7 linked regions of the Callithrix jacchus genome follow. The main gene of each other region encodes a partner of the protein of the gene in region 2 in a complex. Links are inferred from orthologs where the notes say so. Each region holds a gene or a part of one and is shown on either strand. Other genes may lie near its edges.

The links.
Region 1: STX4 (region 2) and STX5 share a complex: the UniProt entries of both Homo sapiens proteins name them as parts of the SNARE complex. The link is inferred for Callithrix jacchus from reciprocal best matches to the Homo sapiens genes STX4 and STX5.
Region 3: STX4 (region 2) and VAMP7 share a complex: the UniProt entries of both Homo sapiens proteins name them as parts of the SNARE complex. The link is inferred for Callithrix jacchus from reciprocal best matches to the Homo sapiens genes STX4 and VAMP7.
Region 4: STX4 (region 2) and BET1L share a complex: the UniProt entries of both Homo sapiens proteins name them as parts of the SNARE complex. The link is inferred for Callithrix jacchus from reciprocal best matches to the Homo sapiens genes STX4 and BET1L.
Region 5: STX4 (region 2) and STX18 share a complex: the UniProt entries of both Homo sapiens proteins name them as parts of the SNARE complex. The link is inferred for Callithrix jacchus from reciprocal best matches to the Homo sapiens genes STX4 and STX18.
Region 6: STX4 (region 2) and BNIP1 share a complex: the UniProt entries of both Homo sapiens proteins name them as parts of the SNARE complex. The link is inferred for Callithrix jacchus from reciprocal best matches to the Homo sapiens genes STX4 and BNIP1.
Region 7: STX4 (region 2) and VTI1B share a complex: the UniProt entries of both Homo sapiens proteins name them as parts of the SNARE complex. The link is inferred for Callithrix jacchus from reciprocal best matches to the Homo sapiens genes STX4 and VTI1B.

What each region holds. Positions count from the first base shown.
Region 1 is NC_133511.1:120,111,677-120,116,346, forward strand, and holds the start of STX5 (syntaxin-5), read right to left. Parts: upstream 3,194-4,670; 5' UTR 3,096-3,193; intron 2,415-3,095; 5' UTR 2,396-2,414; coding exon 2,171-2,395; intron 654-2,170; coding exon 583-653; intron 420-582; coding exon 364-419; intron 244-363; coding exon 173-243; intron 1-172. Other genes in the region: TEX54 (testis-expressed protein 54), read right to left, coding at 3,517-3,885; WDR74 (WD repeat-containing protein 74), read right to left, coding at 4,088-4,267, 4,663-4,670. UniProt on the Homo sapiens protein: Mediates endoplasmic reticulum to Golgi transport.
Region 2 is NC_133513.1:30,560,105-30,564,816, forward strand, and holds the start of STX4 (syntaxin-4), read left to right. Parts: upstream 1-1,653; 5' UTR 1,654-1,922; coding exon 1,923-1,952; intron 1,953-2,129; coding exon 2,130-2,231; intron 2,232-2,320; coding exon of another isoform or gene 2,321-2,342; coding exon 2,343-2,442; intron 2,443-2,577; coding exon 2,578-2,652; intron 2,653-3,087; coding exon 3,088-3,158; intron 3,159-4,712. UniProt on the Homo sapiens protein: Plasma membrane t-SNARE that mediates docking of transport vesicles. Necessary for the translocation of SLC2A4 from intracellular vesicles to the plasma membrane.
Region 3 is NC_133524.1:151,450,862-151,455,378, reverse strand, and holds the start of VAMP7 (vesicle-associated membrane protein 7), read right to left. Parts: upstream 2,878-4,517; 5' UTR 2,755-2,877; intron 1-2,754. UniProt on the Homo sapiens protein: Involved in the targeting and/or fusion of transport vesicles to their target membrane during transport of proteins from the early endosome to the lysosome. Required for heterotypic fusion of late endosomes with lysosomes and homotypic lysosomal fusion.
Region 4 is NC_133511.1:131,725,423-131,730,203, reverse strand, and holds the start of BET1L (BET1-like protein), read right to left. Parts: upstream 2,886-4,781; 5' UTR 2,819-2,885; coding exon 2,800-2,818; intron 1,628-2,799; coding exon 1,536-1,627; intron 1,266-1,535; coding exon 1,209-1,265; intron 1,092-1,208; coding exon 924-1,091; 3' UTR 1-923. Other genes in the region: RIC8A (chaperone Ric-8A), read left to right, coding at 3,876-3,959. UniProt on the Homo sapiens protein: Vesicle SNARE required for targeting and fusion of retrograde transport vesicles with the Golgi complex. Required for the integrity of the Golgi complex.
Region 5 is NC_133504.1:184,609,286-184,612,637, forward strand, and holds the end of STX18 (syntaxin-18), read right to left. Parts: intron 2,122-3,352; coding exon 2,041-2,121; intron 1,296-2,040; coding exon 1,200-1,295; 3' UTR 649-1,199; downstream 1-648. UniProt on the Homo sapiens protein: Syntaxin that may be involved in targeting and fusion of Golgi-derived retrograde transport vesicles with the ER.
Region 6 is NC_133503.1:65,519,648-65,523,655, forward strand, and holds part of BNIP1 (vesicle transport protein SEC20), read left to right. Parts: intron 1-22; coding exon 23-124; intron 125-1,241; coding exon 1,242-1,360; intron 1,361-4,008. UniProt on the Homo sapiens protein: As part of a SNARE complex may be involved in endoplasmic reticulum membranes fusion and be required for the maintenance of endoplasmic reticulum organization. Also plays a role in apoptosis.
Region 7 is NC_133509.1:102,657,272-102,661,279, forward strand, and holds part of VTI1B (vesicle transport through interaction with t-SNAREs homolog 1B), read right to left. Parts: intron 3,747-4,008; coding exon 3,688-3,746; intron 1,607-3,687; coding exon 1,415-1,606; intron 1-1,414. UniProt on the Homo sapiens protein: V-SNARE that mediates vesicle transport pathways through interactions with t-SNAREs on the target membrane. These interactions are proposed to mediate aspects of the specificity of vesicle trafficking and to promote fusion of the lipid bilayers.

The sequences.
Region 1 (4,670 bases), on a different chromosome or scaffold from region 2:
GAGCTGCAGTGAGCTAGGATCGCACCACTACACTCCAGCCTGGTCAACACAGTGAGACCCTTCTCTCTGAAAAAAAGAAACTTGCCCTGGGTCCCCATGGCAATGGAGAATGACAGAACCATAGAAGTGATCTGATTAGATTGCTGGGCTCTTCTGATGGCTAGTAGCTCACCTGTTTGATGATATATGTAAGCTCTTCAATTTCCACCGCTTTATCATCAAAGAGGGACTTGCGCTTTGCCACTACAGAGACAAACAAGAAGCCGCAATGGGCAAGGTGAAAGACAAAGCTCAGGGAATGTAGTCCTCAGCCCTCTGTGATGTACTACTGCCCCACTTCTGAAAGACCCCAAGAACACTCACAGATTGTCAGCTTCTCCAGCTTGGCAAATGTGTTGCTAAGGTCTTTCCCAATGCGCCTGCAAACGACCACTAGTGAGACTGGGAAAGGGCAGGAGAAGGCCTTTTCCCATATAAGCTCCAGCACAACCAATCCCAGACTTCACAGCCAAGGCCACTGAAGGCAAGCCTACTTTTCTTCAGACATTGTATCACCCCACCAGAAAGCTTCTCTCAACTCACTTGGCCATGAGGGTGAATTCACTGCGCTGTCGGACAGCACGCAAAGCTGGCTTATTTGTCTGGATTCCATTCTGAAAAGCAATGGCAGGAGGTGACAACTTTAGATCCCCCTTCCCCAGTTCCAGTTTTCACTCTTCCTCAGGTGTCCACTAAACTATCTCTAGTACTGGTGGCATCCATCCAATGATCTAGATTTATCAGTGGTAGTGGTTTAGACTCCAGATTTGAAGACAAGTAAACCGGAGTTCAAATCTTGACTCGCTACTTACTAGCTAGGGGTTTTGGGAACGAGTTACTTAAAACATTCTGAATCTCTTATTTCCCCTTCTGTAAAATGAAGACAATCCACACCTCTCCGCTTCTTGTTGCTAAGATTAAATAACAAAAAAGCTGAAAAGTACTTTCATCAACTACCTGGTACATTGTAAGCACTAAATAAATGGTAGCTTGTATTGCCATTCTATTCCTCAAATCGGGAAGTCAGTGAGGATGACTGCAAAGCCCTTGGAGATCACATAGAAGAGCAGCTTTACCAACAGATGAATAGTTAAAAAAAAACTTTTTTTTAACTGTTCTGTTTTTGAGACAGGGTCTCACTCTGTCTCCCAGGCTGGAATATATGATCATAGCTCACTGTGGCCGTGACATCCTTGCCTCAAGCGATCCTCCCGCTCAGCCTCCCAAGTAGCTGGGACTACAGGATACACCACCACACCTAGCTAATTTTTAACTTTTTGTAGAGACAGGGTCTTGCTATATTGCCCAGGCTGGTCTCTAACTCCTAGCCTCAAGCAATCCTCTGGCCTAGCCTAGGCCTCCCAAAGTGCTGGAATTACAGGTATGAGCCACCGTAACCAACCCATTGATTTTGATACAAATTACTGATCTAGGCCAGGTGTGGTGCCCAGACCAACCTGGGCAACATCGTGAGACACTGGCTATATCAAAAAAATAAAAAAATTAGCTGTGTGGTACATCCATGTAGCCCCAGCTGCTCAGGAGGCCGAGAGGTAAGAGGATCCTTTGAGTACAGGAGTTCAAATCTGCAGTGAGCTATGATCACACCACTACACTCCAGCCTGTTGATAGAGCTGAAATTAGATCTCAAAACAAAACAGAAACAAAACAACAAATTACTGATATAGAAAAATGTCCTTCGTCTTACAGAGATTAAAAACTAAGAAAGACATAACTAGATTAACTAATTTTCTCATGGTCACAGAGCAAACTTATGGCAGAAGTATACTGGAAAATTCAAGGTGGATGTCTCTCAGCTAAAGGCTCTTCCTACAACTTGTTCCTTATTCACACCAATTATATTGCAGCCAAGTCTGGCCCTGAAGTACTCTCTCCAGAATAGCAATCCTGCACTCCAGGGGATTCCTCATTAAAAAATGTCTAAGTCCTTGCCTCTAATTAGCCAGCCGACCTCTTCTCTGTTACTTATAGCAGACCTTACTAGCCCCATCCAAGCCTATCAGTTCCATCAGGTTTCCCCAAGAATTACTTCAGTTAACAGTGCTGGAGCACAGTCCTTCCTAGATTTGAGTAAGAGTCACTCCTCACCTTTTCCACTGCAGGTCCTTACCTGACGGCTCTGCAGCGACTTGCAGGCAGACAGAAACTCCTGGGTCCGATCCCGGCAGGACATGGTGTCGGGAGGGGGAGGGACGAGGGCCACTGGGGGGGGCAGAGGGGCGATGTCGTTGCTGCTACTGCCAGCAGTTGCAGGGGACAGGACCTGTGTCTTTGAGAGACCCAGGTAGACACCCTGATCCGTGTTCTTAGACCCGTAGCGTTTCCGCGGGATCATTGAGACGCATAACCTCGGACTGTTGTGGAGGGGAGAGTGTCATTTCCCCAGGCAGCTTCTTTACCCAAACTCCCCAGCCCCGTCCCAATCAACAAATCCTCGAGCCCCTTCTGCACTTTTTAAAGACTTTCGCGCCCAAGGCGCTCGCAGATCCTGGAGCAGGCCCGCAGCGGAAAGGGCCCCGATTTTCCCCTGGCCCAAGTCGAACCCTCTTCAGACTCTTCTTTCAACTTGGCTCTGACGGCCAAAACGCGGGCCGAGGACCCTGAAGCAGGGAGAGGGCCCGAGCCAAGTCCTGTGGTCCTGAGACTCTGGCCTGGCCTGTGTAACTGCCCCTACCCAGCCCTTTTGTATCTGCGGTTTCCTTCGGCCAGGGAGAGCGGGTGACGGACCTCCAGAGAGGGACACACTTCGGTGGGCGGAGGGGCAAACCTCTGGGTGTTTATTTGAAACAGGAAGTCCCACCCCCCGCCCAAGGTCCGCCTTCTGGAAGACTTCAATCACTCATTAGCTAAGGCCGACGTCTCTCTCAACAGAGGCTTTCCTAATTGGACGGCAAGGAATTCGCTCACCGGGAGCCGGGCCGGCAGGACTTGCCCGCTCGCCCCTGGTTCCCTTCCCCCCGCCAGTCGTCGCCCCCGTAAAACCACTACCCCGGAGCTGACACGGTGTCCAGACACCCTCTGAAAGCGAATCTTACCTCCCCTCTGCCGCCTGCCGCCGCCACCACTGCCAATCTCCCCGGCCGTCACCGCCTCCTCCCTGGGAACCGAAGCCGCCGAAACCCGACCAAAGACTGGAAGCGGCCACGTCACCCACACGTAGCCCCACCCCCGGTGACGACGGGGCGGTCCCACACGTTTTCGAGCCCGGCTATCCGAGAGACACGCCCCTCACCAAACGCAAGAGCAACCCCACCATCCCATTGGCTAAGATACCACCATGACCCCGCCCCTGAAGACAACAGCCGGAGCCCAGGGGGCTGGGCCCGCCTCCGGGGAGGAGCCTTAAAGAGCCAGCCGCCCGGAGGTGTCCGCGCCCCGTCCCCAGAACGGTCTTGCAGGTTCACGTCAGAAATTTTATTCTCTGGAGGTACGGGTGGACTAAGAGCGGGTCTGGAGTCATCCCTTCTCCGGCTCCTCCTGGTTGCCTTCTCGGATCGGAGTCTCCTTCTTCCGAACCACGTCTGATTGCCTCTTGCTTGCCCGCGAGGAGCCCCGACGACTGAACAAGGATAGCCGCCGCCACAGCACAGTGATCAGAAGGCTTTCGTTCGACTTGTGATTCCGGTGGTCTGGGGCGTTCACGTGGATATTTTCGGCGCCTGAGGGGACGATGAGGCCTCTGAGCTCAGCCCTACCCTCAGGAAGCCCCCTCTCCCGCTCCCTGGGCCCTCTTCTTTTATCTGTGGCCTCACCTTCCCCGAGGTCCTCGGACTCTTCTTCCTGCTCATCAGACATCTGAAAGTCCTTGTCTTGGCAGCAGCCCATGGCCCCGCGCGGCCCCAGACTCCGTGCCACCCACACCAGCCTGCCTGGCTCCAGGCCCGGCTTTGTGACATTAGGTATCCCGTCACCCCAGCTCAGGGAGCCCCCACCTCAAGCTACCCCTCATTCCTTTCTCCCATCACAAAAGGCTCAGGGTCATGGAGGGTGTTTAGCTGTTTATTTACAAACTGGGCACAGAGGGGTGTCAGGGGCTGGTGGACCCAGGCCGCTTCTTCTTTCTCCGCCTGGTTTGGAGAGCTCCTTGGGTCTGCTCCAAATCTGAGAGCTTCCGCTTGGCAGCTGCCTCCAAGGATGCCCAAAGTTCATCTGTCTCTGTGTCTTCTAGGGGCACGTTGTTGGGTTCTTGAGGTTCTTGGGGCTCATCCTGGTGAGTGGGAAGAAGCTTCACAGTCAGGGGGGCCGGGCACAGTGGCTCCCGCCTGTAATCTCAGCACTTTCGGAGGCCAAAGCAGGATTGTTTGAGCCCAGGACTTAGCGACCAGACTGGGTAACATAAGGAGACCCCGCCTCCACAAAAAGAAGTAAAAAACTTCTGGGTACCACCACCTTTATTCCCCACTCCCAGAAAGCAGCCCCATCCATATTCTTGGCAATAACCCTCTCAGGATTTTAACTGTTAATGCCTCTCAGAGAAATTAAGTGACCAGAGAGGTAAAGAGAGGGTCCCAGGTCTGCATTCCAGCTGCCTCCTTTTCCTCTCCATAGGGAGGTCCTCACATCTATGCCCTTGGCTCCCACATTCCTGACCCAACTGCTCACCTCCCAGT
Region 2 (4,712 bases):
CCAGGCTGAGCTGGGTTTTAACAGGAAAAGAAGAGCTAAAGCCCTTCACATAGAATCAGATAGCACTCGACAATTTCCAACCTCATCATCACTGAAGTTTAGAGCAGGGGATACCTATAATGATCTCTCCATCCCCCTAGTTACCCACTGTACAGAGGGAGATCAAGGCTTAGAGACAGGAAGCGATTTCCAGAAGTCCATAGCAACTCAGTCCCAGGAATCTAGGCTTCCTGACCAGGTCATAGCAGAAAGGGTCCATTCCTTCCCCTACTTGTACCTTCACAGAAGCTTCCTGGAGAGCCCTGGGTTCCAGGAGTCCATTATTCATTCCTGGCTATGCTGAGACTTGCTGAGTGACCTTGGGGACTCCTCCTAGAGAATGTAAGTTTGACGAGTGCAGGAATTTTTGTCTATTAGTCCCTGATATGTCTCCAAGTCTAGAACAGTGTTTGGTCCATAGTATGTGCCCAATAAATATCCATTAAGCGAATTAATGTTGCCTGTAATCCCAGCACTTTGGGAGGCTGAGGCAGGATTGCTTGAGCCCGAGAGTTCGAGACCAGCTTGGGCAACATAATGAGACCTCACCTCATGAAAATTTTTAAAAATAAAAAACGAGTGAATATCTAGATAGCCAGGGTTAGGGAAGTGTTACAGTCAGAAAGTCTGAAACCCAAAGAAGACCAGGAAACTGGGGGCTTTATCCTGAGATACATGAAAGGCTAAAATTTTGTGCACAGTTATTTACAGAGGGCCCATTATGTGCTTGGTAGTGAGCTAGGAACTCCCCAGATTCAGTTAAGAACGAAGTCATGACCTGATCTCAGATGTAAGGTAGGGGCTGGGGGGTGTGAGTGGTAGGGAGGCAGCGTGCTCAACAATACAGACACTTTTCTTAGCCTGAGCTGCCCTGACATGGTCTGACTGCTCAGAGGTGGTGAGTGCAGCCGGGCTGCCATGTTCAAGGAGGGCGCCGGCCGCCCACCTACCAGAGGCTGCGCCAGGAGGATGCGGGAGATTTCTGCCTTGGGTGAGGTCACCTCCCACCCCCAGATTCCCTGCTCACACAACCCTGCAATTTTCTGACGCTGACGGCTCGGATATTATTTCCCGATTTTCGAGGTCCCATGATGCTGACAGCCCCAAATGCTAAGTGGTCTGCCCACGTTCCTGGACCCGAAAGCAATAAAGGCGAAGTCATCAAGGGTACACCCACCCACTGCCTCAAAAGGCCTCTGGGGGTGGTCGGCGCGCCCCTCCCCACCTCGCGGGGGCTGTGTGGGCGTCGTTCGGTCGCTGGGGTGCCGGGGACTTCGTGATGAGAACGGCGTCCCAGAGACCGCGGTGACAGAGCCGGGACACGTGACAGTCACAGCGTCACGTTCTGCGGTCCGCGAGTTTGGGAACGGGCTGGTCACGTGATGCAGTGGGGGCATCATGGGGTGATATGAGATGCGGGTGTCTCGGCTTACGTACAAATGACGTACTCCTACGCCTTTTGGCAACCAGATTTCCGTTGGAAGTTGCAACGGTTCCGGTGAGGGGGGCGGGTTCTCGCGTCCAGGCAGCTCCGTTTCCGCTCGGGGCGCAACAACTTCCGACTCCGCCTTCCCCCTCCGGCGAGGAAGAGACGCGACCTTGTGCGCATGCCCCGAATTTATCACGGAGGGGCGGGGCTGAGGCTGAGAGAGCAAGAGAGGGGAAGAAAAGGGAATTCCAACCTGTGGAACCTTAGTGGTCCCCGGGGTCGGCTCCTTCCCATTGACTGTGGGTGGTGCAAGGGACAGAGCGTCTGGCGGCTTGTGGGGGTGTTGAGGTCCGCACCGGGAGGGAGGGGAGTGTCAGAGTGTGAGTGGGGTACGGGAATTCCAAACTTGAGGGCCTCCTGGCTCAGGCGCCGAGGAGGGAGAGCTCAGGCCGCCATGCGGGACAGGACCCACGAGCTGAGGCAGGTGAGACATGGGGGCAGTGGAGATGTTGAGGGGCGGACGAACTGGAACGCAGGACTCCTGATCTTCAGGGCGGGGAGGGATGGCTGATGGCCAGGAAGGAAAGTCCCGGAAGCCTGTGGGTCGTGCGGGGTGAGAGCCGCAGCGAAACAGTGGTACCAATGACTCCGGGCCTCGCAGGGGGATGACAGCTCGGACGAAGAGGACAAGGAGCGGGTCGCGCTGGTGGTGCACCCGGGCATGGCACGGCTGGGGAGCCCGGACGAGGAGTTCTTCCAGAAGGTAAGGGGCTGGGGTCTCTGCCTGGATTCGCGAGGGGGTAGGAAGACCCGAGGACCAGCGTGGTCTGGAGTACCCCATATCTCTTTCAGCCCTCTCGGTCACCCTCCCCAGGTCCGGGCAATTCGGCAGACTATTGTCAAACTGGGGAATAAAGTCCAGGAGTTGGAGAAACAGCAGGTCACCATCTTGGCCACGCCCCTTCCCGAGGAGAGTGAGTGAAACTCCGACTGCAGGGCGCATGCACCACCTTAGGGATTGTGGGGGTTGTAGTCCCACATAGGTGATTGCCAGGGTGGTTTGTTGAGGTGGGAGCTGCTGTTCGGAGTCGTGGTCTTCTCTTATTCAGGCATGAAGCAGGACTTGCAGAACCTGCGCGATGAGATCAAACAGCTGGGGAGGGAGATCCGCCTGCAGCTGAAGGGTGAGCTCCTGGGACCTCAGACAGATCCTTCCCTTTGATCCTGCCCTGTTGTTGGTGTATCTGGGGAGTGTGTGGCCCAGAGAAGCCGATGATATAACCAGGTCACACAGCAGGCCTGGGTCTAGCATCTCTGTCTCCTGGCCTCCAGGCCATTGTACTCTCCACAGGACAAGCCGGCCTCTCAGGTTCTTTTATTTACAATGTAACCATTTACTTACACAGTTATTGCAGCCCACTGGGCATTCTTTGGGCAAGAGGATGGGGTTTTGTTAGGTGGCCTCTGCATACCTATGGGAACTCAGTGATGTAATGCAAAGAAAAATAAACGTACTTTCTCCTCTTGGAGGCTCAGCCTTAGTCATTTTATGATAAATTATATTTCCCTAAAAATCCATGGAAACAAGTACCCCCAGTACTCCATGTGTCTTCCCACAGCCATAGAGCCCCAGAAGGAGGAAGCTGATGAGAACTATAACTCCGTCAACACAAGAATAAGAAAAACCCAGGTGGGTTTTTTTTTCTCAGAAATGAGGACATTTCAGCAAATGTTTCATGAAGTACTGGATGACAGATGTATGAAGGAAGGGCCTGCAGAGATGGTGGAGTCCAGCGGAATGATTTTCCAAATGGGGAAACTGAACTCAGAGAAAGAACTTGCTCAAAGTCAGGAAACCAGGTCTCCTGATGCTTAGTCCGATTATAATACCCTGCTTTATTTTCTTTCATTCAATAAGAAGTTGCTATGACCCCAGACAAGACCTAGGTTTGGCTGTAGGGACACATGTTTCTTTTACTTTTTTTGCCTCAGCCTCCTGAATAGCTGGGATTACAGGCAGACATCACCATGCCTGGCTAATTTTTGTGTTTTTAGTAGAGATGGGGTTTCACCATGTTGACCAGGCTGGTCTTGAACTCCTGACCTCAGGGGACACTCCTGTCTCAGCCTCTAAAGTGCTGGAATTATAGGTGTGAGCCACCATGCCTGGCTGGGACACATATTTTCTAGGAGTCAAGATGAGGAGTTCAGGTTCAATAAGGACAAAGACATTACTCACGTAGGACTTGGTGATAATGGTGCTGCCCAGGGAAAGAGAGAAGTCATAAATGACTGGCAGCTTTCCTGCCTATGTGACAGGGAGTCCTTAGTCCCACAGGCAGAATTCAAGAAGGCAGGAAGAGGAACTTCCCTGGGGCGACACTGAAGAGGAACTTCCCTGGTGTGATATCTTATATTTTTAATTATTATTTTTTTGAGATGGAGTCTTGCTCTGTCACCCAGGCTGGAGTACAGTGGCAGGATCTCGGCTCACTGCAACGTCTACCATCTGGATTCAAGCTGTTCTCCTGCCTTAGCCTCCCAAGTAGCTGGGATTGCAGGTGTGCACTACCACACCTGGCTAATTTTTTTATATTTTTGGTAGAAATGACGTTTCACCATGTTGGCCAGGCTTGTCTTGAACTCCTGACCTCAAGTGACCTACCTGCTGTGGCTTCCCAAAATGCTACGATTACAGGTGTGAGCCACTGTACCTGGCCTTTGGGGTGATGTGACTGGCCCTCTCTGGGTCCCCAGTGAAAAGTACTTTAGGATTCTAGGAGGTCAGGGTTGGAAGTTAGGCCCAGGGTTGGAAGTGAGGACCCCAGATTGAAGATGGAGCAACTTGGGCATCTTGGAAGGGTGCAGCCGGATCCAGGAGAGTAGATGTATCTCTGGAAACGAAACTCCAAGGAACGAACATATTTAAGGCCTCAGGAGAAGGGGCAAGGCAGAGCAGATGACCTATAGCCAGTGCTTCTGGGGTAACCTGTGGTGCTGATTGGCATGAGAGGTCAAGGGCCCATGTGGGCTTGTTGCACCTGTTTTGCCTGGGCGGCATGTTCATCTCTAGGCTTATGAGCACAGTTGTGGTATAAGCAGCAAGGTTGGCATTCAGCAAGTGCCAGACCCTTTTGGAACTGTTTAGGATACAGCAGTGAACCAATGATCCCTTTCATCATGGAACTTCCATTCTGGTGTAGAGAAACAATCACCATAATACATAAGTGAATTATTTAGACAT
Region 3 (4,517 bases), on a different chromosome or scaffold from region 2:
TTTTGTTTTTTTTTAGTAGAGACGGGGTTTCACCATGTTGACCAGGATGGTCTCGATCTCTTGACCTCGTGATCCACCCACCTCGGCCTCCCAAAGTGCTGGGATTACAGGCGTGAGCCACCGTGCCCGGCCTCCATTCTTGTATCATGAGCAGACCATTAAATTAACTGGCCCACTAAAGTAAGGCGGTAGACAAGGTGCTCGGGAAGAGATGGGAGATCATTTTAGGAGGAACGGATGAAACAAGAGAAGGCATAGAGGTGAGAACAAGGTAAAGAAGGTACATAAACTAGCCTGATGAGATGGAATGGTCCACCTTTGGTGAATGACAAGATTGAGGAATACAGCTGATGGCCTTACATAGAGAAGGTCTTGTATAAATCATGTCATTTAAATTTGATCAGATATGGAGTTTTTCTATTTCAGTTCAACACATATGTACTGAGGGCTTGCTATATGCTAGTCAAAGTAGACACTGGAGGTATAAAGTTGATGAAGAAGGGACTCCTATACTTGAGGGAGCCATGGTACAATGAGGAAGACAGATATAAATAAATGTGATAAAGTGTAATAAGTGAATAATCTAAGACTGTCCACAACCACTCAGGAAATTTCTTAATGCTTTGTGATGATCTCACCTTGGGTGAATAACAGGAATGTAGGTATCAGCTTATGCCTTAGGAATTTCCTCACTATACTGTTAGGATTATTTCTCCGTGGAAGAGAGGCCAAAGTGTCTATTTTACCCTACTTTCCCAGTGCTCAGCACGGTGCCTAGCAGTTAACCTTCCCTCAAGTATTTTTTTTCTTTTCTGAGACGGAGTTTTGCTCTTATCCAGGCTGGAGTGCAATGGTGCGATCTCGGCTCACCGCAACCTCCGCTTCCTGGGTTCAGGCAATTCTCCTGCCTCAGCCTCCCGAGTAGCTGGGATTACACCCAGCTAATTTTTTGTATTTTTAGTAGAGACGGGGTTTCACCATGTTGACCAGGATGGTCTCGATCTCTTGACCTTGTGATCCACCCGCCTCGGCCTCCCAAAGTGCTGGGATTACAGGGTTGAGCCACCGCGCATGCCCTCAAGTATTTGTTGAATAAGTAAGTGAACATTGAGCATACTTTGGTTTTAAATACACTATAAATGATAGATAACTTTATATTCAGAAAGACCTAGTAAGAATAATATTTTCACAACCAAATCACCTTTTGAAGTAAGATAAAGCAGTTGAGCTAACAGTAATCCAATCCCCAACTCTTCCATCTGGGAGTTAGAAAGAATAAAGTAACTACAGATAAACCAAGAATTCGGATGCAATAAGCTTGGAGGAGATAGAAAAAATGAAGAATAAACACTGCTTAGAAAGGGGAAAAGGAGAGGTGTTTATGAAGTCAGGTTATAGATCAAGATTATTCCTGTTAGTATTACAACTATTCTTTCTGGATGATGCTCTGAGACCCAATCCAATCTCTCTGACTTTCTTAGGATAGGATCCCACCCTTTCAAGTCAACCACCTGTTTTATTTCACATTAGGCAATATATAACATAATCCTATTTCTGTTTTCCCCTCTAGACACAAACATGTAAGTTCCTGAGTGTAGCAACCTAAGTCTTGTTTACAGCTGTATCCCCTGCACTTAAAAAGAGAGTCGGCCAGGCGTGGTGGCTCATGCCTGTAAAATCCCAGCACTTTGGGAGGCCGAGGCGGGTGGATCACGAGGTCAAGAGATCGAGACCATCCTGGTCAACATGGTGAAACCCCGTCTCTACTAAAAATACAAAAAATTAGCTGGGCATGGTGGCGTGTGCCTGTAATCCCAGCTACTCAGGAGGCTGAGGCAGGAGAATTTCCTGAACCCAGGAGGTGGAGGTTGCGGTGAGCCGAGATCACGCCATTGCACTCCAGCCTGGGTAACAAGAGCGAAACTCCGTCTCAAAAAAAAAAAAAAAAGAGTGTCAAGCACAGATCAGCCACTCAATAAATATTTGTTAAACATACGAATGGATCTGCTCTCAGCCACAAGTATTCAAAGGTAATTAATATCCCTAACATGGCTGTATCTCTGGGATCAAGGGAGGGAGAATGGAGATACAGGTAGTTGAAAGCAATAAATGAGGCCGAATGAAGACAGCTGATTGTGAGAGTTATGGGAGTGGGAGATGTAAAGCGTTTACCAAAGACGCTAGCACGTGGTCAGAATTTGATAAACATTGGCGGTTAATAAAAACACCAAACAGGTCTGAAGATGAGGAAACAGGTCTAGGCGGAGATACAGTTCCTAGCCAAACAGAGGAAGAAGTGGACTGTCAATAATGAGCAGTGGAGGAAGGGTGAATAAGGGGCCAGGAACCCACGAAGGAGCATAAACAGCCAGAAGTAGGTGAAGCGGAAAGTGACGTCATCGAATAAGGACGCAGAGAGTTTTTAGAAGACTCGGTCGATCTCAAGCGATTTAAATGGTACAGAAAAGTCTTGTAGAATGCAAACTGAGAGAAAATTAACATTTTTTCCCTCCTGTAATGACAGCTTAAGTGACGCATTCTGACACTCTTTTTAACTCGAGGCCTTTCCAGCGGCAAAAGACGCACCTCGCCGAAACCGGACCTGCCCGACAACCGGTACTGTGTACACCAGAGAAGCCCAAGTCACCCTTACACTGCCTACCCGCTCCACCCCAGCACCTTTCCGTCGACACCTTCCCTCTCCCTCCGCAGTTGTGTTTCCGCCTCCCACAGAGCGCGCCCCACTCCATTTACCTGTCCGGGCACCTTCTGAGGGCGCGCGGGCTCGGGACCTAGGGGCGCGGGTCAGCGCAGGGTCGCCAACTGCCCGCTCCCAGAGGAGGCTGGGACCCGACGCCGCTAACTTCCGCGTGAAGCGCCCCGCCTACGCGTGGCCTCTTGGGAATGGGAGCGCTCCTCCAATGGCAGCAGGCAACAGGGCTAGGCCTGCTAAGTTCCCAGCCCCGCCCCCCCCGCACTTCCCAGGAGCCGTAGTGCATTCCGGGAGTAGTAGTTCCGACTGGCCACGTTCCGGGGACAGCTCTGGCCGTAAACAACGTCAAACGCCGTATAGGGATCCACGCAAATGAGAGAATGCAGGCTAAAGATTCTACCTGTAATCCCAGCACTTTGGGAGGCCGAGGCGGGTGGATCACGAGGTCAAGAGATCGAGACCATCCTGGTCAACATGGTGAAACCCCGTCTGTACTAAAAATACAAAAAATTAGCTGGGCACGGTGGCTCGTGCCGGTAATCCCAGCTACTCAGAAGGCTGAGGCAGGAGAATTGCCTGAACCCAAGAGGCGGTGGTTGCGGTGATCCGAGATCGCGCCATTGCACTCTAGCCTGGGTAACAAGAGAGAAACTCCGTCTTAAAAAAGAAAGAAAGAAAGAAAGAAAAGATTCTACCAGCAGTGAGTAGGCGGCATAAATGAAGAGCCACGCTTGCCCCGTCTCTCCTGCTTAGTTTCAGTAGGCAACATTGCCTGTTTCTTCACCGACAAAATAGAATTCAGCTGACAGGAAGTGCCTCTATTTTTGCCATGAAATGTTCTTATTTTCTTGTACCCCTCACCAATCCTTTCTCCCATTCTTTAGCAATAATAATGATAACTACTACTCTCCTTTGATCTAAACCCATCCCTCTTCCATCCCTATTCCCTGTTGCCGAATCAGAGTCAAGCTCTTCTTTTATTTTTGAGACGGAGTTTCGCTCTTGTTACCCAGGCTGGAGTGCAATGGCGCGATCTCGGCTCACCGCAACCCTTCTGGGTTCAGGCAATTCTCCTGCGTCAGCCTCCCGAGTAGCTGGGAATACAGGCGCCTGTCACCACGCCCAGCTAATTCTTTATATTTTTAGTACAGACGGGGTTTCACCATATTGGCCAGGCTGGTCTCCTGGTCTCCTGGTCTCCAACTTCTGACCTCATGATCAGTCCACCTCAGCCTCCCAAAGTGCTGGGATAACACGCATGAACCACTGCGCCTGGCCCTTATTTCCTCCTTTTTGAACTCCTTTATTCTCTTAGCTCTATGCAAGATGCTATACACTCCCGCTTCTCCTCTTACCTCTGTGGCAGCTCTTCATTTTCTTTTGAAATGTTCACATTCCATAGGGTTCTATCCTACGCCATCTTCTCTTCTTATTCTTCACACTCTTCCTGGTGATCTTAATCATTCCCCTTGCTTTATCTTCCCTCTGCAAAGATTCACATTTCACATTATTAAAATTATATTGCATTCAGTATCTATTCTTTAAGAGGCAGCATATTATATTAGAAAAAGAATAAGTTTTAGAGTCAGACAGATCTGAGTTACTAAGCTGTGTGAACTCTAAGTGTTGGCTCTCTTTAGACCTTTCAGGACTCTAGCAAATCCCCTTACTCCTTATTCTCTCCTAAAGTAATCTCATCTGTACCCTAAACTTTATAATATAATTAGCTGTCCATGTAAGACGTGCCTGATTCCCCTTTGCCTTCCACCATGATTGTAAGTTCCCTGAGATCTCCCTGTCAGAG
Region 4 (4,781 bases), on a different chromosome or scaffold from region 2:
AGAGACAAGAGGACAGCACGGAGCACCATCACAGTCAAGGGAGCCTGGCAGGGCTTGGCAGAGGGGCAAAAGTTACCAGCAAGCTAGGCGGCAACTGGAGTCCTCACAGGAACCTTCCTGTGTAGATCCACAGGTTTGCCTGACTCTGAAATGCCAAACAGGCCCACTTCTAGGTCTGCTCTCCCGAAAACACGTCTTTGGTGCTGGGCTGATCCTGACTCCTGAGAACGCAAGTTTCTGCTCCTGGATACAGTCACATGACCCAGAAGGATCCAGGCGCAGCCACTAGGCCAAGGCTGCAGTTCACTCCATCCACACCCCAGTTCTCCCCAAGGGTCTCACTTCATCCGCAGGACTGGAGAGCAGGCAGAGAAAACTCACAGCAGAGTAGCCCACGCTGGTCTGCCCATGCCTAGCAACCGTGGCCAGAAGGAACCGTCATCTCCAGGCTGAGAGGCCTCAGTCGGAGGAGATGGCACTCACTCAGGGTTCACAGTCCCTTCCTGTGTCAGCTCCAGGCACCTTGGATCACAGACATGGCCTCACCCAGACAAGGACACAGCCATAGGGCCTTAAGATGTCAGCGTCCCAAGAGCTGGGAGAAAGGCTGCAGGCCTCAAGTGGCTACGTCTGGGATTCAACAGCTGCTGCGCTTGGACCTGGCTCCTCCAGACATGCTGTGGCCCCAACTCTGCTGGTGTCTCTAGCACCTGGGGGAGGAGGGAGGGGCTGGCCCTTGGTTTCCCCAAAAGAGAGTCCCTTCCACAGCCAACATGAGCTCATCAGGTCACAGGCTGCCACAGCCTCCTGCCCCACAGGAAGAAGATTCCAAACCCACAATTGTAATTTCAAAGGAGTATTTTGTAGGTAAGTTCTCTGGAGCCCAAGACGCCAGGCACCCAGAGACACCAGCTCCCACTGGTTCACGTCCTTGCCCTCGACAAGAAGTAGGAGAGGATGAAGAAGACCACAATCAGACCCATGGCCATGCCACACAGAAGCTTCCGGTTGTCCCGTCCAGACCTTGCCATTGCGGAAAAGCGCTTCACACTCCCTGTAAGCAGGCCGGTCATGCTTGTGAAATCCGAGTCCTAAAGGGGGAATCCCAGCAAGATCACACAGAAGTGGTGATTTCACCACCCACCCGCACCAGTGCTGAAGGAGACACTGCAGGCTCTACAGCAGGTAGTGTTGGGGCAGGCCCTTACCATGCCATCCAGGTACCGGTTCTGATCCTCTGCGTCCCTGTCGATGTCCAGGGCAAGCTGTTCAGCACAGAGAGGGCAGGGTTGGGCCAGAGCAGACACATAATGCAGCACTCACCCTCCCCAGACCAGACAAGCCCTGCCAACAACTCTGCCAGAGTGCTGCAGCAGCAGAGAGGTCCAGGTGGGGCCTCATGCAGGTGAGCACAGCCACAAAGCACATGAGGATAGAAAACTGCCTGAAACTCCTCTGGGCCGTCTGCCTTTCCTCTGACCCCCACCCCCCAAGGGCACATGGTAGAGGTAAGAGGACAGGAGACCACCACTGACCGATTTGAGCCTGGTGACTTTGGAGGCCAGGCTGTCGGTCATTCGCTTGTTCTCCCGGTCTAGTATCTCTTCCACAGCACCAGGACTCTGACCTGAGAAGAGAGAGAGGCTGAGGGGTTGCATCCACCGGTGAGCACGGCCCCTGACCCGTCGCTCCAACCACATCTGGGTGAGTTGGAAATCCAGGGGGACTGGGCCCTGTGTCTGCTGGGCAGGTGGCAGACACAAGGCCCTAACCAGGTTCCAGCAGGTGGATCTTGCACATGTGAGGCAGGCTGCATAAAGAACGATGTGTGTAAGTAAGCGCATGTCATGTGAACACACGCCCTGTGTACACATCCAGGTGGGGATGGGCAAGCACCCACAACAGGCTCGGTGCAACCAGCAGTTTCCCACACTGTGTAGCAGAAACTGCACCCAGCCCTGGGATGCTGGTAAGATGTGACACTTGCATCCATGGAGGTCCCATCTGTGTAAAAGTGTAGGAAAGGCTTGGGGAAAGTACCCAGCAGAGCAGTAGGAAGGCTCCTACAGGGGCGACTTCAGAGCTGGCTCCTGAAGAGGTGGCAAGGAACCAGGACAGAATGTTGAGAAGGCGCTTTACCGCACAAAAAAAGGTCTGAGCCAAGCTCCCAATTCCCCACCATGGGAGCTGAGGTCGACCAAGAGAGGGATCCTTGGTCTGCATCCCACAGAGGGCTTCCCGCAACACCCAGAGCATAGTGCTTGCAGCGGCCTGGCCTGTGATGTGATAGGCTGGGCCAGGTGATAAGGAATTTCTGTCACATCAGGTAGGTGAGAACCACCTGCTGCCTAGCTTCAATGTAAGCAACGGGTGCAACACAGACAGGCAAACATCAATATCCCACTTTGCAGACAAGAACACGGGCTCCGGGAGGGGGACTGGGGCCATCGAGGCCCAAGTTAGCAGACGCCTGCTTGGACACCAACGGTGCACGCGTGGCCTGTACTCCTAGGGCCTGGCCCCGGGACCTGCCGAATGCGGAGGCTCCCGCACCCCGAACCCACGCAGAACGATCTCACAGGGAATGGCGGAGAGTTGGGGGACCCCGCAGCTGCGCGACCCCTCGCTGGAGCGGCTAGGCCGCCCCCTCGGACCCGGAAGGATCCGAATCTGCCCCCGTGACAGGGTCCTCTCCGCCGAGGACAGTTTAGAGGCAGGCGTACGCGGCTCTGCAGGTAACAGCGTCGGCTCCGGCCGGGCCCGGCCCCGCCCCCAACGACTCCGCTCTCTGGCGCTCACCCCTAGCCCAGTCCGCCATGGTGCCTTCCCCGGCTCTTCAACGCCGACACCGACGCGGCAACCGCCGCCTCGGACGTGGCGCAGTCAAGGGGCAGGACTTCCGGCCCCGCCTCCGCAGCGACCACGCCCCTATATGCCCCTGCCCCTTCCGCCTTGAACTCGCTGACTTCCGGCTGAGGGCTACGAGTTGGGAACCGCCGGTCGCAGGAGCGCGGCACGGATGTGCCTTTCATTTTCCGCACCGTCCCAGGCTGGCGTGCAGTGACGCGATCTCGGCTCACTGCACCCTCCGCCTGCCGGGCCAAGCAGCCCTCCCGCCTCGGCCTCCCAAGGTGCTGGGATTACTGGTGTGCGCCACCGCGGATGTGACGTTTGTTGTTCCTGTGAGCGTAGGGCGGGGCGGGGCTGTTGGCTCGGTGCCAGGACTACGGTGTGGGATAGACGCTTCCGTGGGTTAGGTCCTAACGGCGGGGAAGGATTCACAGGCGCGTCATGAGGAGGGAGCAGGCCCCCCCGAGCAGGAGCCCTGTTCCCGGCCACTTCCTGTCGTCCGGTGTCAGCAAAAGCAGCGTTTCCTCGCTGCCCGTTTTGAAGCACAGCCTCGTGTCCTTTGGTGTTTGCTTGTGTGCCTTCCCCTCGGGAACAAAAGCTCCGCGAAAGCATGGACCTAGGAGTCCCGTTCGCCTGCGTTCCCCAGCAAACGCCTAACGAACCCGATGGCCCAGGACTGAAAAGTCCCCCACTTCGGCTCCCCCTCCACACCCCATCCGTTCTGTGGAGATCCAGGGGCGGCGCTGTGTGTGTGGCAGGGCGAGGTGGGGGCTGAGATCCTTTCCCGTTGGAAATTCCTGCCCAAGAAGCGCGGGTCACAAGGAGAGGGGTCAGTTCGGTCGAGGGCGACTCGGGTCTGGAAACCTTCGAACCGCCGCTTCGGCTCCAGGCCGCGCCCCCTGAAGGCGCCGCCCGACGCCGCACCCCGTCCCGGCCTCCCATGCGCGCTGGCGCGGAGCTCTCTGGGCCAGGGCGGGGCCGGCGAATTGCGGCCCGGAACGGCTGGGGCGGGTCCCGGGGGCGCCATGGAGCCCCGGGCGGTTGCAGCAGCCGTGGAGACGGGGAAGGAGGATGTGATTATGGAAGCTCTGCGGTCGTACAACCAGGAGGTGAGCCGCCGCCGGAGGCCGGAGTCGGGCACGCGTGGCAGGGACGGGTAGGAGAGCGAGGCAGGGGCTGTATCCGGAGGCCGGGGTCGGGCACGCGTGGCAGGGACGGGTGGGAGAGCGAGGCAGGGGCTGTATCCGGAGGCCGGGGGGGGGGGCACGCGTGGCAGGGACGGGTAGGAGAGCGAGGCAGGGGCTGTATCCGGAGGCCGGGGGGGGGGGGCACGCGTGGCAGGGACGGGTAGGAGAGCGAGGCAGGGGCTGTATCCGGAGGCCGGGGTCGGGCACGCGTGGCAGGGACGGGTGGGAGAGCGAGGCAGGGGCTGTATCCGGAGGCCGGGGGGGGGGGCACGCGTGGCAGGGACGGGTAGGAGAGCGAGGCAGGGGCTGTATCCGGAGGCCGGGGGGGGGGGGCACGCGTGGCAGGGACGGGTAGGAGAGCGAGGCAGGGGCTGTATCCGGAGGCCGGGGGGGGGGGGCACGCGTGGCAGGGACGGGTAGGAGAGCGAGGCAGGGGCTGTATCCGGAGGCCGAGGGGCGGGCACGCGTGGCAGGGACGGGTGGGAGAGCGAGGCAGGGGCTGTATCCGGAGGCCGGGGGGGACGGGCACGCGTGGCAGGGACGGGTGGGAGAGCGAGGCAGGGGCTGTATCCGCGAGCACAGGGGACACGGCGGCGTCGGGGGGGCCAGGTCCGGGATGCGATGTTGAGGGGAGAGTGTGGGGTGCACCGCTGGGTGGCAGGTGCGTAGGGATGGGGGCGCGTGTAGACCCTGCCATCCGTTCTGAGCGGTGGCCGCCGCCCATCAGCGGACGCGGAGCCTGCC
Region 5 (3,352 bases), on a different chromosome or scaffold from region 2:
GCATCACAGAGGCACGAGTTGAGAAGGGCATTGTTAAGCTGTGGAAAACGACTGAGCGCAATAAATCCGTGCCAAACTTCCCTGCACATCTGCAGAGACACAAGTGAAGCCCATGTGCGCACAGTGCAGAGGCCGAGCCTGGGTGTGTTTTCCAGTAGACGTGGACTTTACTGACTGTAAATTCATTTCCATGTAACTTCTGACATTTCACTCTGTGCAAATAAAGAACCCGAGGATACTGTGCTGCAGTGGACTGTCTGTATACACGCATTTCACCAGGCGCAGGGCACGCTCTCATGCCCATGTGGGCACTGGGATGCCTTCTTTCCAGATGTGGTCCAGGTGTCTCACGCCTTCCATTACAAACAGGTGCTCCTGTCTATACTTCCTGGAAGGTCAGATACACAGGCACAAGAGAAGCAGGCCCATTCTTCCATGGCCCACTTCCTCCTTTGCACAAAGTCTCCTTGGACCCACTGAGGAGAAAGTGGTGCTCCCACACCCCTGGCTGCTTTGGGGGCAGCAGTCTTTGGAGGAGTCACGCCAGGCAGCCCCTCACGGAGGGCCCCAGAGCCTCCCCTGCATTTCTTCCCTGAAAGGAGGTGGGTGGGCCTCCACGGAAATTTCTCAACTTACACTGACAACACATTGAGGGGCTGTAATTGTATTTATTAGATTAACAAGGCAGATGTGAATTTTCTGCAATCCAGTGAGTCTGTGTATTGGATGACTCAGACAGACAAGAAGCCACAGGAAACAAAGAAGCAATCATTTGTTGGGAGACGTTAGTAACTGTCTTCTTCCCTGAAGCTACCAGGATGGGAAAGGTCATGACTTCCTTTGAACCTTGAGACAACTGGGGGCTCTTGAGGGCTGCTGTGCCCCTGCTACTGGTGCAGCACCCCCTGCCAAGGCAGCCTCAAGTTCAGGAGAATCACCAGCTCCCGCATTCAGTCTGTCTTGCCTTAAAATGGCTACAAGACCCCTTCCCACTGTTGCACATGTTTTTCTTTCTCAGCTGCTAAATGGGCTGAACAACATCAGCCTGGGTATCCCTTTTTGGGGAAGATGTCTGCCTGTCTGAACCCCTCTCCCTTCACATGGCTCTGGGATAAAGTCTGGTCATACCATGCTCTGGCACCGGAGGTACGGTCTGTGGGTGCCCGTGCGGCTCTCATGTTGGGCCCCCGCGGCCCAGGCTAGCTGTCATACCAGTCGAGGAAGAGCAAGGAGAAGGAGCACATCACGAGGAAGAAGAGGATCCACACGCGGAAGCCAGCGTTGTTTTTAATGGCCTGGGCAGGGACAGGAGCACAGGTGTTTTATCACACCGGATTTTGGTTTCAGCAGCCCTGAAATGCCCCACTCTTCCCACGTGCTCTTCCGATCCTGGCTGTAACTATGGGTGTTGCTCGATCTGTGCTTACCCTGAAGAGATGGCTTAATTACTAAGCAAAATTAAAAAGTGGGCCTGTCTTCTCCCAGAAGACAAATGGGTTATATTCCCTTCTCTGTGGCCATCATCTGGGTCCTGCACGATTCTCTCAGCACAACTCTTGGAATCACTCCCTTCTGTCCCGGGGTTAAAAGCCCTGAGCAGAGAGTGACTGTCAGCTTTGTGTTTCCCAGTAATGCGATGTCCTTGGTGACCCAACCCTAAGGATTGAGCTCAGGAAACAGTAGTGTCCCCCTTAGTGGGGGCCAACAAGCCTGTCCACCAGTGTGCATCCCTGTATGTGGGGAGCTGGCCTGACCTTGCCAGGAGTAACCCAACCCACCCTGGATTACTCCTTTGGAGGCTGGTGAGCCATTGCCTCTGGACAGCAGCCGGAGGTGGGCAATGGGTGGTGGGCTGGTGGGTCTCATGAACACACGCAGCTTGGCTGGAACTGATCATGACCTCACGGCCACACAATTTTGTGATCAGCCCTGTGAGCTCTGCCCAGCAAGACTCCTGGGCAGCGGTGCCAGCAAGACGAACACCACTGCTGGGACTCAGTGCTGCACCACCTCGGACCTGGGGACTCAAACGGTGCCTACCTCTCTTATGTCTTCATTGCCCTCCTTGATATTTTCAGTTGCCCCCACAACTAACTGGTGAATGCTATCGATCTCAGCTTCCTGTGGAAGAAAAGGTAAACACAAGCTGAGCATCCTTTATCCAAAACCTGAAATCCAAAGGGCTCCAACCAGCACTTCCTCTGAGTGTCATGTCGGCACTCAAAAAGTTTCAGATTTTGGAGCACTTAGGATTTCACATTTTGGATTTTCAGTTTAGGGATGCTTGACCAATATAGCCACCTCCTCCTCCCCGAAGCGTAAATCATGACAAGAACAGGAGCTGTCACCAAGGGCAAGGGGCTTTGCTTGCATAGCCATGAATCCCACAGCATCCAAGAAGTGGGTATTACCCCTATTTTATGAAAGGGAAACCCATGGCTCAGAGTATTACTAAGTTGCCCAAAGTCACACAGCAACCAAGTGGCAGGACTGAGACTTCCTATTTTTGAGACAGGGCTTAAACAATCCTCCCACTTCAGCCTCCCAAGTAGCCGGGAGTATAGGCATGTGCCACCATGCCTGGCTAAACTTTTAAAAGTTTTGTTGCAATGAGGGTTCTCCCTATGTTGCCCAGGCTGGTCTCAAACTCTTGAGCTCAAGCCATGCTCCCGCCTCAGCCTCCCAAAGTGCTGGGATTACAGGCGTGAGCCACCGCGCAGGACTGAGGCCCCAGCTCGTTGCAGTGCTCCTTCCACCGCACCTGCCAGCCCTCCTGTGCCACTTGCCGACCACGAGGACAAAAACCTAAGAGCTACTGTTTGTGGAGCACCCACCATATGCCAGGGGCTTCCCTTCCAGTCTCTTATTTCTTTCTGAAGTCCACAGAAGTAAGCTTTAAAATGTATGTGCTTCAAAATACATACACTAGCTTCAAAAAGTGCTTTGTGTTTTACTATTATATCTCAAAAAAAAAAAAACAGGCTAAAATTTAAACATCGAAATAGGATGCAGGATGCCTACCGAAAAACATTTACTCCAAATAAAGCCTTGAAAAGCTTGAGAAGCGTGGGATCCTGGTCTAGCACAGGGGCGTCTGGCCCCGCAGGGGCAGAGACGGTTCTAGACGTCCTAACAGGCAGGAGTGCCTGCTGCTCTCCTCCTTTTGGTGGTGGCCAAGCTGCTTCTAACAGGGTCGGGGCTGAATGCACGCTAGTGTGGGCTGTTAGAGAAACCTGATTGACACACGGTAGGGAGGAAGCAGCCTGTGGCCTCGGATTCCCAGCGATGAATATTACTGGGATGGCTCTGCATCATCGCTCTTTGGAGAATCTCGAGGTATGAGCTAAGTGAC
Region 6 (4,008 bases), on a different chromosome or scaffold from region 2:
CACGTGAACCTTTTCATTCCAGCAATCAGACTTCATGGAGGAAAGCTAATCTTACCTGCAAAATTGCAATCGACAATCTAGAGAAAGCAGAACTTCTTCAGGGAGGAGATCTTTTAAGGCAAAGGTACCTGTTCTTTTGTTTTTCTGGGCTCTCATAATAAAATAGGTAACAATTGGCAAGGTGTAAAATCCATTGTAGGGAATCCCTTCTTGTTTTCAGCTTGGTGTTTAATTTTATTATATAAGTAATTTTTTAAAGTTTGAAAGAAATGCATACTTATTTGTAGTAAATTGATAAAATAAAGTATAAATTACAAAATGCAAATATCGAATCTTTTTTTTTTTTTTTCCTCGAGACAGTCTCTCTCTGTAGCCCAGTAGTGTAGTGTAGTGGAGTGTAGTGGCTCATCTTGGCTCACTGCAACCTAACCTCCACCTCCTAGGTTCAAGTGATTCTCCTGCCTCAGCCTCCCTAATAGCTGGGATTATAGGGTTGTGCCACTGCACCCGGCTAATTTTTTGTAGTTTTATTAGAGATGGGGTTTCACCATGTTGGCCAGGCTGGTCTTGAACTCCTGACTTCAGGTAATCCTCCCGCCTTGGCCTCCCAGAGTGCTGGGATTATAGGCATGAGCCCCAGTACCTGGCTGAAAATATGGAATCTTATTACTCATGAGCATTTTGGTATATTCTCTTCTCTCATTTTTTTCTTCTACATTTCTTAAGTCACAATTGTACCATACATATAATTTTATATCCTGCTGTTTCAGCACAAAACTTGCTCATTTAAAAAAAAAGAAAACTTTTAAAGCCTAATTCTAACAGTACATAGTATGTAGATTGTATGCTAATACTATCCCCTATGTGTGTTTGCATTCCTAGTGTTTTGGTGTTGTAAGTAATACAGCAGAGCATGTCTTAGAACATAAGGCTTCATCTGCATTTTGGATGTTTCCATTAGAGGGATGTTCAGGGATGAGATGATTGAGTCAAAGGAATGAACATTTCTAAGGCTCCTACATTGTCAAATTGCTTTACAGAAGGTAGCACCGGTTTCTGTTTCTACTAGCAGTCCATAGGAGTGTGGGTCTCAGCATATCCTTGCCAGCATTGAATGTGATCACTTAAAATATATATGCTGATTGGGTAGGCAAAAAGTGAGATATCATTTGGATATGGGGCCTTCTTGCAGGGAGACTTTTGTTGACATTCTTCCTCTTTCTCTTCCTCTGAACTTTCAGGAAAACTACCAAAGAGAGCCTGGCCCAGACATCCAGTGCCATCACTGAGAGCCTCATGGGGATCAGCAGGATGATGGCCCAGCAGGTCCAGCAGAGCGAGGAGGCCATGCAGTCTCTAGGTAAAGCTGGGCCCAGAGTAGGAAGCGTCTCCCAGAGACACTGCTCTAGCGCCCTAGCCCTGGCATCTCCACCCTGGGCTCCTCCACCACGGCCCACACGAAGTTCACTGACTTGGGGGGCTTCTTCCTCGTGAGATGACTTGACACCTTGGTCTTATCCATAGTGGGGATATGCTGCTCTTATTTCCCTTTACTAGGAGACCCCACACCCCCATCAGTGTTTCCCCAGGGCGGGCATTCCCAGGGTCTCAAGTGTAAAGCAGAGGTCCCCAGGCCCTTTCCTAGAGAAGGTGTTGGCAGAGGTGGGTGAGGGGCCTGGGAGTCTCATTTACAGCCAGGGCTCTGGGTACCCATATGGCCAGGCAAATTTGGGAATCGTTGCTCCACGGGATGTTTAGTGAATTGGCTGATGGTAAGACTGCTAGGACCTTAGTTTACAATTATACTCCCCAATGTTATTTTTCCTATGAGTTCTTTTTAAAAGATGAGAGTCAAAGGCTGCAGGAGAGATTGCTTGAGACCATCTGGTTCCCTCCAGTAGTTTTCCCAGAGTGGCTCCTCTGTGACACAGAAGAGTATCAGCCCTCTCCAGGGTCCTTCAGTATGAGACAACAGAAAAAGAGGGTTTACTCTTTGAAATGCTTTTGGAACATTGCACACATGGACAAAAGTAGAAAGCATGGTATCCTGAATCATCTGAGCCCTGAGCCCATTACCCCAGCCAGACTCGTTTCAATTCTACCCTCAGCCCATCTCCTATCTGAATTATTTTGAAGCAAATTCCAGACATTGTCCATAAATATCTCAGTACATCTCTGTAGAGGATGAGGGGCTCTGGGGAAAAAGCAGAAACAACCCCAGAACCACAATACCATTATCACCTCTAGAAATTATCTTTAATTTTGAACCACTTTTTTTCAGTGCAGCAAACAGGCAGAAGCAAAAGGAAAGCAAGCAGGTGATCCCATGGTCACTCTTTGTGTTTACAACTTACCTGAACATTTCAGCTTAGAACCAGCCAGGGGCCTTCTCTCAGCGTGTCCTGTGGGAGAGGCGTTGGAGAGAGAGGGAGCAAAGAGACAACTCAGCCTCTGAGTCCAGGGCATTTATGCTCTGGTGTGGTGAGAGGATACCCCCTCACTAACAGTGGGAAGGAGACACAAATGCTGGTGGTTTCTGGGGTGTTGAGAGGGTCCCAGTGTTCTTGGGGCCCATTTTATAGAAGTAATAGCTATTGAAAAAAAGGGAAGAATACAGTTCTCAACCCCCTCCTTATCCCTCATAAATTCAGCTTGATTTAAAAGCCTACTAGGACCATAATTGTGAAACAAAAATCTTATTAGGAATATGGTATCTGGAATTTGCTGCACAGTTGTAGGAGTAGGGGAGATGGGGTAAGGGGGAACAGGATTTCAGAGGTTGGTGGTTCTTGGTTATGGGTGGTAGACATATGACATTTCATGATACTATGCTGTCTGCTTTGTGATGGTTCAAAATTCTCCATAATGGTAAAGTTTATAAAGAAAGACCTGTTAGGTTTTTACTTAGCAAGTTCTTAGGGTTTTGAAATGGCAGCAGGCAGGCGTGGAGAAAGAGTGGAGAGGGATTCCCGTTCTGTGAGTGTTTGCTTTTCTCCTTTTATCTGTCATTTTCAAAATGCTGCTGTGTTTCCTCTGATAATTTATCTTATTTACTTATTAGCTTTTAATTTGTTAAAAGGTAACACATACAACATAGAGAAGGATAAAAAACTCTAGCCCAGCACTGCCAGTAGAAACATAACAGGAGCCACATATGTTAACTTTAAATTTTCTAGTAGGCACATTTTAAAAAGTAAAAAGAAACATAAAACATTAATTTTAATAAGATAGTTTATTTAGCTCATTATGTAAACTATTACAGTTTCAATGTACAACTAATATTAAAAATTATTGAGATATTTTACCTTCCTTTTTTTCCATATTAAGTCTTTGAAACATTGTGTGGATTTTGGCCAGGCAAGGTGGCTCACGCCTGTAATCCCAGCACTTTGGGAGGCCAAGGTGGGTGGCTCACTTGAGGTCAGGAGTTTGAGACCAGCCTGGCCAACATGGTGAAACCCTGTCTGTACTAAAAATACAAAAAAAAAAAAAAAAAAAAAAAAATTAGCCAGGCATGATGGCACGTGCCTGTAATCCTTACTCAGGAGGCTGAGGCAGGAGAATCGTTTGAACCCAGGAGGTGGAGATTGCAATGAGCCAAGATCACACCACTGCACTCCACCCTGGGTGACAGAGTGAGACTCTGTTCCAAAAAAAGAAACGTTGTGTGGATTTGACACTCACTGACATATCCATTTGCATTTGTCATGTTTTATATACACAAGAGCCCCGCATGTCTAGGGGCTGCCATATTGGCCAGCACAGCTCTGGACAGTACAAGAGGCACACAAAAAAGCTGATCCCACTTGCCAGCACTCTGGTCCACTTCCCAGAGGCAACCACTGTTACCAGTGTCTTTTAAAAAATATCTTGTGATCCTCCAAGCTTCTGTAACTTAAGCAAATGAAATACTGTTTATCTCCCTGTTTCTTACCTAAATGGATACACTTCACAGGCTTTCCCTTTTCGCTTAACGTATTTTATTCAATGGCTGTTCTGATGATGCCT
Region 7 (4,008 bases), on a different chromosome or scaffold from region 2:
GTGACCACTGGCAGTAGGATCATCAAGAAGCCAAAAGATTGGCTCTCAGACCAGAAGTAGCAAGAAGTAGCATTTTCTTTTTTCTTGAGACAAAGTCTCACTGGAGTGCAGTGGCGTGATCTCAGCTCACTGCAGCCTCTGCCTCAGCCTCCCGAGTGGCTGGGATTACAGGCACCCGCCAACACACCTGGCTAATTTTGTATTTTTAGTAGAGACAGAGTTTCCCCATGTTGGCCAGGCTGGTCTCGAACTCCTGATCTCAGGTGATCTGCCAGCCTCAGCCTCCCAAAGTGCTGGGATTACAGGCACAGGCATGAGCCACCATGTCAGGTGCTCTGTAGCATTTTCACTTGATAAATAGCATATAGACCAGTAGATGAGGAAACCACTAAATGAGGTTCAAATAAAACCAGTAGAACCACACTCCACCCGCCTGCCCTTTTCCAGCCTCCCTTTTCAAGTGATCTGTCAGCTTCTAATCTGTGACGATCCCTCGTACATCTGTGCGAAAATTTTAAAAACATCAGCCTCAAAATGTCTAGTTTTGCATCAGCAATGTCAAGCCAATATCATTTTCAATGTCTCTTAAACTATAATCAGGATGCATCATGAAACAGGAGTTGTTTAAAACTGTAGTATGAGCCTTTCTACCTCTGTTCAGACTGCACTGGTGGGCCCCTTTCCATCTCTCTTCTGTGTTACTTGCCAGGCAAGTCTTACTTTGTGTTGTGTTTATGGAAGATAGACCAAATGCAGCACATTTAACCTTTCAGACGTTTAATTTCTTTAACGACTAGCTTCTTAGATGGTTTCAGAATACAGATGTTCAATTAGTCCAATCTTATAAATTAGAATCCTGAAAACTAGAGAGCAGTCTGGCTCACTTTCCATTACCACAGAATAAAATGATAAAAAGCTCCACGAGAAGCACCCTGCATTGGCTACAGTATCTCAGTTGCTGGGCCATCTTGACATTAAGGTAAAGGAAAGCTTGGATTGATTTTGAAACAATACTCTGATAAATTAGAAACCTAATGGAATTTTCCAGGCATACTTGAGAAAGTGATTCTAAAATTTATATGAAAGAATAAAAAAGATCAAGAAGAAATTAGATCAATGGGTCAGAATCCAGAAAAAATAAGTAACACTTATATACTACTATATACAAAGCACTATTTTTATTATAAGACTGTATTATATTAAGGATAAAAGGAAATCTAAATATGCATATGATTAGAAAGGGCTACATTAAATAGAGCATATACCAAGGGAATAACAGGAGCTGGATGCAGAAAAGAGGATAAGGGTGAAAAAAATATTTTCTAGTATACACTGAAAACATGAAATAATCCAACGATATGGTTAATTTTTGTACCACAGGCCCTTAAGGAAAAAAAAGGAAGCTAAAACTTACCATATGCTCATTTTCTACAGCATATATGCCATACTTCATATCTCCTCGGCCTCCAGGCGTGGCTGTCAAAGGTGTGCTTCTCACCTCCCGATGGATTTTGGCAAGGTCCTTCCGGTAGTTTCGAAGCTTAGACATCATGGGGTTACGGAAAGAGAGGGGTGCATAACGTAGCTCCTCCTCCATCTCTGCCAGCTGGGAAGGCAGAAAGTAGTGAGTAGATGGCCTGGTTCTTCCCTCACTCATTTGGAAATATGCCTAGTTTGGATTAATCAAACTACTTATTTATTTGGACTACACCAAGTAAATAATTCAACCATATGCTACATAAGGCAGGACCATTTCTGGGATGTTCTTCTCAATCCAAATGCCTAGCACAGTGCCCAGCAAGCACAGAGCAAGCATTCAAAATATATGAACTGAATGAATGAATGGAGAGACAAAAGTATTTTAGAGCTTACTAAACATGTTTCTATATATCCTCCATTTAATCCTCATAACAAATCAATAAGGTAGCAAATGTTCCATTTCATATATGATTTACAGAAACCTGCTAAAGATTACACAAAAAGGAGGAGTCTGGACCAGGCATAGTGGCTCCTGCTTCTAATCTCAGCCCTTTGGGAGGCCTAGGCAGAAGGATCATTTGAGCATAGCCTGGGCAACACAGCAAGACCTCATCTCTATAAAAATAAAATTAAAAAGGAGTCAGGATTCAAAATCTTCAAATTCTTGGCTCTCTTCAATATACGGTTGAACACTGCCATCAAGAAGTGCTTTGAAGTCTACTGTACTAAAAACTTTTCCTGCTCCTCTTTCTGAAAATCAATCATGTTTGTCTCCATGTCAGAGACAACCAGGGGCCCACCTCAGAGCAGGTGCTTTAGAGGAATCAGACTTCCATTCTTCTAGGATAAGTAAAATGTAACACCTGGGGATGTTCACAAGCAGCCCTAAATTATTTTCATCTGCCTGGAATGGTCAAGGTAGGATTATTTTGTTGAGTTCGAAGAAAACAAGTATCTGAGCACCAAACAAATCAGTAGTAGCTAGATTTTTAAAAGGCTACCAATATGTTAATCAAAACAGGAGAATGGCTACAAACAGGTATCATGGACATGCCCAGCTGTACACAGGTATTAAGAAAAATTCCTAGTACTCCCATTAGGAAGAAGATAGTTTCCACAGTCTGGTAGCCTGGTCCTTCATAAAGCACATGCAAAACAGAGAAAAGGATGCAGATGTGCTTCTTTTTCACTGGGATAACTGGGAAATTGAGAAGTTGATCTTCAACAGGCAAGAAGGCAGTTCGCTGGCTAAAACAGAATTTTTTTCTCCATCTGCTCTGGGATGGCAAAAGCAGGGGCAACTATTTCTGCAGGGTTCTAGCAGGGACCAGGATTTTGGCCCCAGTCTTAATGGGTTTGCTAGAGTATAATGAAATGGAGTCAAAGGACTCTTGCTTCCATAGAGCTGGAGGAAAAACAAACTTTTTTTTTTAAAGAAAAGCCACAAGTGAAGAGAAGCAACTTCTGACAAACTTTAGGTCCCACCTGAAGCTCATGCATGTCTTGCCTGAGGTACCAAGTCCAGCTACAATGCTGTCTTTTAAGACAGAAAGGGACATGGTTAGAATCACCTCTGAGCTACATTTTCTGTGTCAGTAAGTTTAACAAAGAACAGTTTTTTTCTTTTTTTTGAAGCAGGGTCTTGCTCTGTCACCCACACTGGAGTGCAGTGGTGTGATCATGACCTTTCAGGCTAAAGTGATCCTCCCACCTCAGCCTCCTGAGTAGCTGGGTCCAGAGGCATGCACCACCAATCCTGTGTAATTTTTTTTTTTTGGAAGAGATGGGGGTCTCCCTATGTTGCCCAAGCTGGTCTTGAACTTCTGGCCTCAAGTGATCCTCCTGCCCTGGCATCTCAAAGTGTTGGTATTATAGGTGTGAGCCACCACACTGGCCAGTAACCTATCTTAATGGCCAGCTCTTAAAAAGAGATTTTAAGAGACTGCTTGGGTAAGGGTATGAGAATGCCCTTACTACTCACATCAGCAATATATTATCAAAGACTCATATTTCAGGAGAGTCTTCAGGTTTTACCCATTTGTGTTTGTCAAACCTCCTTAATACCCATCCCCATCAGTTGGCTTCATTTAGTAAAAAACAGTCAAAATCAAGATCAACAGACAGGAAGTTAATCTGTGATCAGTTCATAGCATTACTTCTGGAAAAGAGGAAGACCACGTAGAAGAAACAAAATTTTTTCACTCTCACCGTTTCATTTGCTTCCTGTTGTTTTTCATCAAAATCCCTGATCAACTTCTTCTTCTCTTCTAGAAAATGCAGATAAGTTTCAAATGCTTATTACTATTTCCACACATTTGTAAAGGCCATTCCCTCTGCTTAGAATAAGCTTCTTATTCCTCCCCTAGTGAGAGTAGTACTCAGTCATCTTAAACAGGCATTTAAAAATGACACAGGCCGGGCTTGGTGGCTTACATCTGTCATCCCAGCACTTTGGGAGGCCGAGGCAGGTGGATCACTTGAGGTCAGGAGTTCGAGACCAGCCTGGCCAACATGGTGAAACCTCATCTC